Arabidopsis thaliana: one gene and its partner. The protein of the gene in region 2 interacts with the protein of the main gene of each other region in a biochemical or structural test. Each region holds a gene or a part of one and is shown on either strand. Other genes may lie near its edges.

What was found.
Region 1: the proteins of WRKY17 (region 2) and CAM5 form a complex in vitro, tested with the Arabidopsis thaliana proteins (one study listed by BioGRID).

Annotation. Positions count from the first base shown.
Region 1 is NC_003071.7:11,529,768-11,534,887, reverse strand, and holds CAM5 (calmodulin 5), read right to left. Parts: upstream 2,922-5,120; 5' UTR 2,820-2,921; coding exon 2,744-2,819; intron 2,202-2,743; coding exon 1,832-2,201; coding exon of another isoform or gene 1,828-1,831; exon of another isoform or gene 1,604-1,827; intron 812-1,603; coding exon 712-811; 3' UTR 530-711; downstream 1-529. Other genes in the region: PAG1 (20S proteasome alpha subunit G1), read left to right, coding at 3,724-4,133, 4,265-4,304, 4,614-4,697, 4,844-4,917. UniProt on the Arabidopsis thaliana protein: Calmodulin mediates the control of a large number of enzymes, ion channels and other proteins by Ca(2+). Among the enzymes to be stimulated by the calmodulin-Ca(2+) complex are a number of protein kinases and phosphatases.
Region 2 is NC_003071.7:10,436,763-10,441,414, forward strand, and holds WRKY17 (WRKY DNA-binding protein 17), read right to left. Parts: upstream 2,708-4,652; 5' UTR 2,461-2,707; coding exon 1,802-2,460; intron 1,311-1,801; coding exon 1,182-1,310; intron 1,092-1,181; coding exon 914-1,091; 3' UTR 591-913; downstream 1-590.

The DNA of each region.
Region 1 (5,120 bases), 1.1 Mb from region 2:
AGTGACACAAAGTGTTTCAATGCATTTGGTGTTATAAACTAGTATTTGGATATTATATTCTTAATCATAAGTTTTCTTAACGAGAGGCTTTTCGAATTCATGTACAATTTGCATTTCTTGATTTATTATGAAAATACTTAAATAGCAACTGATTAGAAAGACTTTTAAGTTTAGGTTTAGTTCCTAAAAAAGTATTTTCTTTGTTTTAATTGTATTATCATCTCACAAGAATTAGACCATATGCCCGCCCACATTGTTGATAGATAGCAAATGCCTAACGCCTAAATCAACTGATAAATTATAACAGTTAGATCGCCAGAGTATTAGTTAAAGTCTCCTAATATTGGTCGTGTATCTTTTCTGAGTTTTCTCTTGCTAATATCTTAAAAACATTGTGATAGTGTTTCTGTACTAGTGCCACCGTCGTATCATAACTCGGATTTAGTGTTGTCGCTATATACTTGGATTCAAGTTTGATAAGTGTGCGTATGTTGTAGACGAAAATTAAACATTGTGGTAGATAGGAAATGCCTAAATGAACTTACTATATTGATAGTACTTTAAAACTTTTTATATAACAGTATAGTAAATATTTAACATATTCAAACAAGATATGACATTTAAAATCCGTTTAATGGGTGTGAGAGGTACAAATCTCTTATTGCACACAAACATATAAAGAAAAGGAATTAAGAAGCAAATGGTCGGAGCTCAGAGAATACGGCAGTGACTTTTCCGGCGACCATTCTTTTCTTTGTATTCAGCAGAATTGCTACTACGCTTTGCTGCCATAACTCTCTTCCCTCTTCTCCTAATAAATTACACACATTTTAAAATAATTAGGTATCAAGATTTTCGATAATATTTAAAAGAAAAAGAAGAAACTAAGCCTTGTAACAAAAAAAAGTAAAAATAAAAAATACTGGTTACCAACAAAAAAGTTCAGTCATAATTAAAGGTTTGGAGATTCTCATTTCATCTATCTAGCTTTTGCTACTTACCATCCATTTTTGATTTTATTCCCCAAAACATATCTGCCTTTTAATTTAAACAATTACGTTCTACCTCACGAATAACTACTGTATGCATACACCACTTTTTATATGTTTTTGTTAAAATGTAGAATATATTGAATCAAGAAAAACACGAATGTTATTTACAAAGCTGAAAGTTGAAGTGGGGAAAAAGAGAACTGAAGCTTGAAAACTTTTGAAAGAAAAAATGAAATGGAAGTTATGTTTTTCTTTAACCCTTTTTCGTATTTCCTAAATTTTATCTCTTGTTTTAATCGTTACAAATGATAATACTTTTTTCTAACAGTTTACTTATTTTCTTATATGAACCGTAAAATAAGAAAAACATATTTTAATTTGACTCAAATTATATGGATTATTGCCAACATTCCTCTAAAAAATAGGGGAATTTCCAAATTGACCAACAATTTAAAAATAAATAAAAAATTCTAAGCTTTTAAAACTACCGATATAATGTTTTCAGACATTTTTCCTACAAATTTTAATCACACAAATAACCCTTTTTTTTTTTAACAAACATTGCAAACTATAAAATACAATAAAATAAAAAAGTACTAATACCAAGAGATAGCTTTTTCAACGACCATTACAATGGTACTTCACATAATATAAAATAAACTAAAAACTTCCAAACAAATAATTTAACCCAAAGTCACAAAATAGTTCATAACATGAAATTTGGGACGAATGCATAATAATGAACAGTCAAACATAGAATAAAGCAATAATCAGAGTTGTTCAATTCAAAAAAAGAAAGAAAGAAAAAGAGAGAAAAGATATGAGAATAGTTTCCTCACTTTGCCATCATAACTTTGACAAACTCTTCATAATTGATCTGACCATCTCCATCAACATCAGCTTCTTTGATCATCTCATCAACTTCTTCATCAGTTAACTTCTCACCAAGATTTGTCATTACATGTCTTAACTCAGCTGCCGAGATGAAACCGTTCTGGTCCTTATCGAAAACCCTGAAAGCTTCTTTGAGCTCTTCTTCAGAGTCAGTGTCCTTCATCTTCCTAGCCATTAGGTTCAGAAACTCAGGGAAGTCTATGGTTCCGTTACCATCAGCATCTACTTCGTTTATCATATCTTGTAACTCTGCTTCTGTTGGATTTTGACCTAATGATCTCATCACTGTTCCTAGCTCTTTCGTTGTGATGCAACCTAAACACAAAACCACACATTTCTCTCAAATCAGTAACAGATTTTAACACCAAATCTTCAAATTTTCATTGTAATTTACTCTAATAACACACAAAATCTTCAAATTTCATTTTAGTTACTCTAACAACTGTATCAAATGAACACAAAATCTTCAAATTTCATTGTAACCTACTCAAATAACTGAATCAATTAAACAAAAAATCTACAAATGTCAATGTAATCTACTTCGATTATTGAATTCTAAGATTTGTGTCAATTCTAATCACAATTAGTAAAATCTGGAAGACTAAAACACGATTAAGTTAGAGATTATTATCGAGATAGATCCGATTGCGATTATAATTTATAATCAACGAACGATAAAGATATCATCAAATCTCGCGTTTAATGTTAATGTGAATATCCAGAGATTTTATGGACAACGAAGAGCATCAAATTCCTAAAGCCAAGACTAAGTGATACTCAAAACACCAAAAAAAACGCAAGTGAGTCTATTATGAATGAAAATTATACAAAAGAGGAAAGATCTGAGAGAGAAGAACCATCTCCGTCTTTGTCGAAAAGGCTAAAAGCTTCCTTGAACTCAGAGATCTGATCATCGGTGAGCTGATCTGCCATTTTTTGGTTTAGATGAGAAAGAGAGAAGAAGAAGAAGAAGAAGAATCAACGTTGGTGTGTGTAATGAGAGGATTGTTGTGTGGAATTATAAAGAAGGAAAAAGAAAAGGCCCATTAGGCCCAATAACAATAATTTCGAATCTGATTCTCTTTTTTATTCTTCTTTTGTTTTGTTCTCCACTGGGCCTTATTGTGTTTTCAATTCGACTAGCTTTACTTAAGAGGGAGGTGATGTATATATTCCCTTGTGAAAAGAAATAGTATTGTTGTTTTGCCGACAACCATTTACATGCTTTGAATGGTTTAGTTCATATAAGTTACTGATCTTACCATGCGTACCAATACTAAGTATTCAACGAGTTGGTAGAATGGGATTACTAGTGATATAAAACGGTAAAAAAGGTTTAGCTTTGTGTTTACCATGGATTTTAAACTACTTTTTAATTAAGTTAACCAAAGAAAAAGTTTTAGCATTATAAGAAAATTTAGAAATAGTAGTACTTTTTATTTACTGTTTTTGTAATTAATAATCATCTAGGAGTTAGGACAAAAATCACTACTTTGTTGTTGGAAGGGTCACCTAATGGGTAGTTAAGCATCATGACCTTCACTTAAAGATTTGATATTAAACAAGATCCAGTTTTCGCAAAACTGTCATACTTTTTTGATCGCCACAACTATGTCTCTCAGTTTGGCTAGAGATGTAGTAAAAAACAAACTTATTGTATCCATCACAATTATAGGTAATTTACTGTCTTGGTTTTAAAAACATGTAATGTTGAGCATCCCAAAGTTTGTGTGTCCCAATGCTAGAGCATATTATAGTCTTACCTCTAGTGAGTTCATAAAGAAGTGTTGTATGATCATATATTTTGTTGAGTAAGAGAAATATTTCTTTCTTCCTCATGTGGTTGATTATTCAAAATTATACAAAAGAGGAAAATCACTTAAAAATATTCACGATACCGTTAAAAGATTACCAAAGAATGGGCCAAATCATAATATTAATAAAGCCCGTTAATAACCGAATCGACCCACCCGACAAAACAACCCGAATCGTTTTAATATCCAACCCGGAGTCAGACGGAGCTCCAAAGATTTGGCTTGTCTCTGGCTTGAGAACAAAGAAAACCCCTTTCTTCGATCTCAGCTTAAATCACTCGACGAAGAAGAAATCAGAAAAGAGTCAGAGAAAAAAAAAATCAAGGAAGATGAGTAGCATTGGAACTGGGTACGATCTCTCCGTCACCACTTTCTCTCCCGATGGCCGTGTTTTCCAGATCGAGTACGCCGCTAAAGCTGTCGACAACAGTGGGTTAGTTGGCTTTATCTTCTTCGATCTTCGCCCTTTAGTAGATCGGATTTAGCTTCTGAAAACTTTGAGATTTTGGTTATCGACACGAATTAGGGTTTGTTAAAAGTCTTTCCCTTTTTTTTTCTTCGCAGGACTGTTGTTGGAATCAAGTGCAAAGATGGGATTGTTATGGTTTGATTCTTCCTCCTTCCTCTATTGATTTTTATACTACTTTGTCACTTTCTTCAGTGGGTTTAGTCTCTCGTGCTGTGATTTAACCTTGGAATGAAGTATTCACATTTTTGTTATCAGAATTGTAGATTTGATGTAATATATACCGTGTAAATTTTGACCCAAGATGACACATTTTACAGTCCCTTAGTTTCATTTCCTGTTCGATATGTTGTGAATCTGTTGTTAGTTTTGGGTTTTGTAAGATTTTACGCAGATTTTTGATAAAGGAATGGTCTTGCTAAGTGTTTATCATTTGGTGGTTTTTAGGGAGTTGAGAAACTTATTGCATCAAAGATGATGCTACCAGGTTCCAACAGGAGAATCCATTCTGTTCATCGTCATGCTGGCATGGTATGTTTTTTTCTCCTAAACTATAGGAAATTAGTTTCTGCTGAGGATATGTATCTTTCAAGTTTTTTGTAACTACTATTGTGTCTAGTCTCGTAGTATATTGTTTTGTTTCATGATTATGGGTATTTCTACTTCTGTCATGTCAGGCTGTTGCTGGGCTTGCAGCTGATGGGAGGCAAATTGTTGCGCGTGCTAAGTCTGAAGCACGAAGCTATGAGAGGTATCAATGAAAACATCAGTAGCTTATATCTAAGATTTATTATTATGAAAGAACTGTTCAACTCCTAAAGCTTTTCTCAAGGGGATGTTTCTCTTAGTTAAACGTTCAAAATATTTTTTATCTGCATTTTGTTAGATTAAAAATCTAAATATATGGGTATAAGATGTCAATGTGTATGTTCTCCTTTCTTCCTACATGGCTTT
Region 2 (4,652 bases):
ACAATCTTATAATGAGTCTTCAATTTGCTTCCATGATTCCTTTTAAAATTTAAAACAAATATATAAACGAAAACACCTTTATTTGCTTCCAATTACTGGCACTGCGATTATCTCTTTATCAAACTATGTTCTTGGGTTCTGCTTAAAACTTTTTGATATGGAGATTTCATATGGAAAAAATCTTTATGTTCTTTCGATTATTCTTGAACGACGTTATTTTGGACAGATTAACAGTCATTAACGGGTTTCTAGGTTCTACTGATAAAGACATGTCTATTTTGGCCTGGTCAACGAATTTTTCATGTTTTAAATGGTATTCAACGTTTAATTCATGTTTTAAATAGCCACATAAGAAGTTGATGTTTAAAATGGCCACAATTTGAAACTTGACTAATAAAGTTAACGAATGATAACGGACGTTAGAAGTTCCGTTAATGACTGATAACGGCATGTCTATTTTGGCCTGGTCAACGAAAGATCATGTTTTAAAAATTAGTCAACGTTTAGTTCATGTTTTAAACGGCCACATATGAAATTGATGTATAAAATGGCCATTTTTTGAAAGTTGGGGGATTAAATGACATTTTTCCCCTAAATCAACCATCACAAATCATAACTAGATCAAACAGAGTAATGGTAACTTTACGAACCATATCATTAAATACATATGCCTACACATTTATATACCAATTACTTTGCTAAACATCATTTTCTTACATGACACCACTAAATATATCAAACAAGAAATTATGAAAATGTAGTAAGAATTTTTTCTTTCTCGGTAGTAAGATTAAAATCCATTCAAAAGACTACTAAAAAAAAATCTAAAACTAATTTTGTTATAGAAAAAAAATTACAAAACCAACCCCTCTATTTCTCAAAATATTACAAAACTACCAAACTAATTAATTCTTCAAGCCGAACCAAACACCAAACCACTCACGCTAGGAGTTACATGCTCCTGCATCGTGGACTGGTGATGACGGTGCTCTCCTTCGTACGTCACAATCAACATCGTTGAATCATCCAAAGCTCTTTCCACGTGTTTCCTCGCTGGACATCCTCTAAATGTACTACACTTGTAATAACCCCTGAAATCAACAAAAACAAATCACAACCGTTAGATCTCCAATGTTTCACAAATAAATCAACGGTGGATAGCGATGGTGTACGATAGTTACCGTGGATGTGGTGAGCCTTTGATCGGTTTTTGTCCATACTTTCTCCATGAATATTCGTCTGGTGGTATATCGGCGATCTTTGCACTTACCGCCGGTACTCTCACGGTTCTCTTCATCCGATTTTTTCGGCTGTTAATTAAATAATAAAACATTGTAATTAGTGAAATGATTTAACGTGCGCTGACACGACTAACGTGAACATGCATCAGGTTAGCAAAAGTCAACGGGCAGACAAAGACTTTTAAAACGTAAAAACTTTCCCTATACAAAACGACAGCACCCACTAACTTGTCCTTGTCAGGCGTGCACTTTGGTTTAAGTTACTGTCGTTGACTTTCACTAAATACATTGACCGATTGGTTTAGATAGTACCAAACCGGTCTACAAAGTATTAAACCCGGATTTTTATTCTTTATTTTTTACTGAGACTAGTTAATTTAACTAGTAGACTTGTTCATGATTGACAAATTCGAGGCAAAAAAAGAATTTTGAAATCTGAATTCGTGATATATTTTCACTGAGTCCGTGAGCGATTGGTTTAGACCGTATCGAACCAAACAATTAACTACTACTAGGCTAGTCAAACAAATGATTAATTTATTGTGGAGTAATAACAATACCTTTTCTTGCAATGGCACTTGCCGTTGCCGGAGCCAGAGATCTTGCCGGAAAAGCCTTCAGAGTGGTCATGTTCAAAGCATCTCTTCCTGTAAGGAAGACCAGAAAGCGGCGGTTTCCCGGAGGAAGTCACTGGCACCGCTGGAGCCGGAGCAAGAAAGATCGAAGAGCCTTTAGAGACACTTCCATCACCGGTGATCGCAGAAGACATGAAAGAAGAGTTAGAAGATACGCTAAAGCTCTCTTTAGCAAACTCAACAACCTCCGAGCTCTTGGTTTTAGCGCCAAAAACGCTCGGTCTAGTGAAATCTAACGTCACGCTTTGTTGATTTGCCTGAACGAAGCTAACCGGTGCTGGAGCAGAGATCTGAGTGGGAGCCGGAGTTGTCACTTTCACCGGTGGAGGAACGGAGGAGGAAGGAGGGGAATGAACCGGACCACGTCTAAACCGGGCGTGACCGGAACGGTTAAGAAGAGAGATAACTTTCTTGAACTTAGAAACTGTGAAATCAGTGATCTCAGAGCAATCAACGTTACGTTCTTCGGGACGGTTAGAGAGGACACGAATCAAGTGTTCCATGCTTTTTAAGCCTTGTGATGCAGCTTCTTGTATAGCCGTTTGATCTTCCATCTTAGGTAAACGCATAATATCAACGGTCATGATGAGAAACCAGAGGAGAAACTTGAAGATCTGAGAAGATGTGCAAGTTTTTTTTGATGAATGAGAGAGCGAAACTGGAAGAAAAAAGAATGGCGTTGGCGTGATATATGGGGTTATGGGTGTGACCGAGTGACCGGTTGAGTAGGTTTAAGATGGAGTTTAGTCAAATCGGTGCTTTAGATCTAACGGCTGAGATTGAGTTGAAGATTTCTATGGAATAAAGTAATCAAAGTTTGGTCTCCTTGAGTTGTGAGATATGTAGGGTCTTCTTTTGTGCAAAGCAAGAATTTATAATCGTGTCTTTAAAATAAAGGAATCATTGTGCGTAAACTTGAATTTGGGGAAAATGGTGGTAAAGGAATTTCAAAGAAACAAAAAGTCAAATAAAAAACATTAAAGGATGGTGTCTAAAGAAAATCATAAAGCTTTTTTAAAGTCTCATATCTATTTTTTCTTTTATTAGGTATCTTATGTCTTCAAGTTCAAGTCAATAAATTTAAAATTAAAGGTAATGAATTGTTTTTATTTGTATGAACAATTGGGCTGATTTTTTTTTGTTTCTTTGGAATATTAGAAGGTCTTTAACCAAAATCCATAATTTATTCTTGAACCAAATCAAAATATGTAATATTAATTTCATCTCAAATCACATATTTTTCTTTAATAGGACTGGATTTTGATAGAATAAATTTTCAGCTAATTGTAAAATGGTATTAATTTCTTTTGTGATTTTGACTTTTGATAATATATTTTATGTTTTTTTATTTTATTCGTGTTAAGTTTTAGGCGTTATTCATGTTCTTTTTATGTTTTTGTGTTATTTTTAGCTTCAACCAACACTACAACTTGTCAATATTATATGGTGCACACATACCAAACTCGTGTTTGCAGCATATTTTTATTATTTCAATTTCTTTCTAGAATTATTACTAATTTTGCAGTGCATTGACAATAATAATTATTTGAAAATAATATTTGACTCCCATATTAACTTTGCACCTAATATATATTTTTTTTTTCTTACCTCATAGCCTTCTAGAAAACGTCTTGACTGGAAAACTAGTAAATTGAAAACAATCTTTTCTTGACTTTTAATTTTACCTAATTAATCTACACAGATTGTGGAACAATTAACAATCATTAATAGAGATTAAAGGCTATAATAACAGCGACAATCGTTGACTATATCTTATTAGTATAGTCTACAAGTCTTTAGTTGAGAACAGCGATAAAGAAAAACGACAAAGTAGGAAAACAAAAGCTGACTACAAATAAAATAAAAGTGATCACATGGACGCATTTCTTTTTAAAACACAGAACTATTGACTACCTCGGTAACCGAGTGATTCCGGTTAACTATTATCTGGGCCGTTGATAATCCAAAAGTTAGATCCAACGGTGGATCTGTGAACTGTGGAGTTGACTCTTTGATATTATTCTCTTTAACTACTTTTTTTTTGAGAATCTAAAAAACACCTTTTACCACGGCAACTGATCTTCCGACACGTGGCAATTCTGGCTGACTCATAAATTGTCACCTGTCCACAAGATTCTTTTTTTTTTGTTGCTTATAGAAATAAAGTAAACAATACCAATACAGTTAGGAATGGAGGAAATTAAATGAATAAAAAGAGCCAATTTGCAGCTCGATCTAATCCTACTTGAGGAGATAATTTGAAGTTTTCTCTACATTTTTCTAAATAAGGTTTAATTGGTAAATTTTTAATCGCATTTATAAAATGGCATATAGATTTTAGAAGATTTATTACTAATCACCAAAGCAGAAACATGAGTAAATATTAACATTACTATAAATTACTTTTTAATCTTTTGTTTACTTTCAAACTTCAGTTAAAACAACTCTTTGTTTCAATACACCACCGTTTTCCGGTGATTTCAGTTTGTCGGAATATACATGTTTCGATAATTTTGGTATATGCAGTGTTTTCTTGTAGTTGTTATATGCAGTGTTTTCTTGTAATTATACTTATTCAAAAATTCCAAAGTTTTATCACTTGTAGAAGAAAATATCAACCATACTTACTTAGCTGAATTCTTTTAAGCCAAGAAGACTACATGAAAGAAAAAGAAAAAGAAAATTACGACGTGTTTTCTTTGTCAATGATATATGACGTGTTATGTGTGCAAAAACAGACCTCAAGATGTATAATTGAAACATTTTTAAATATTTG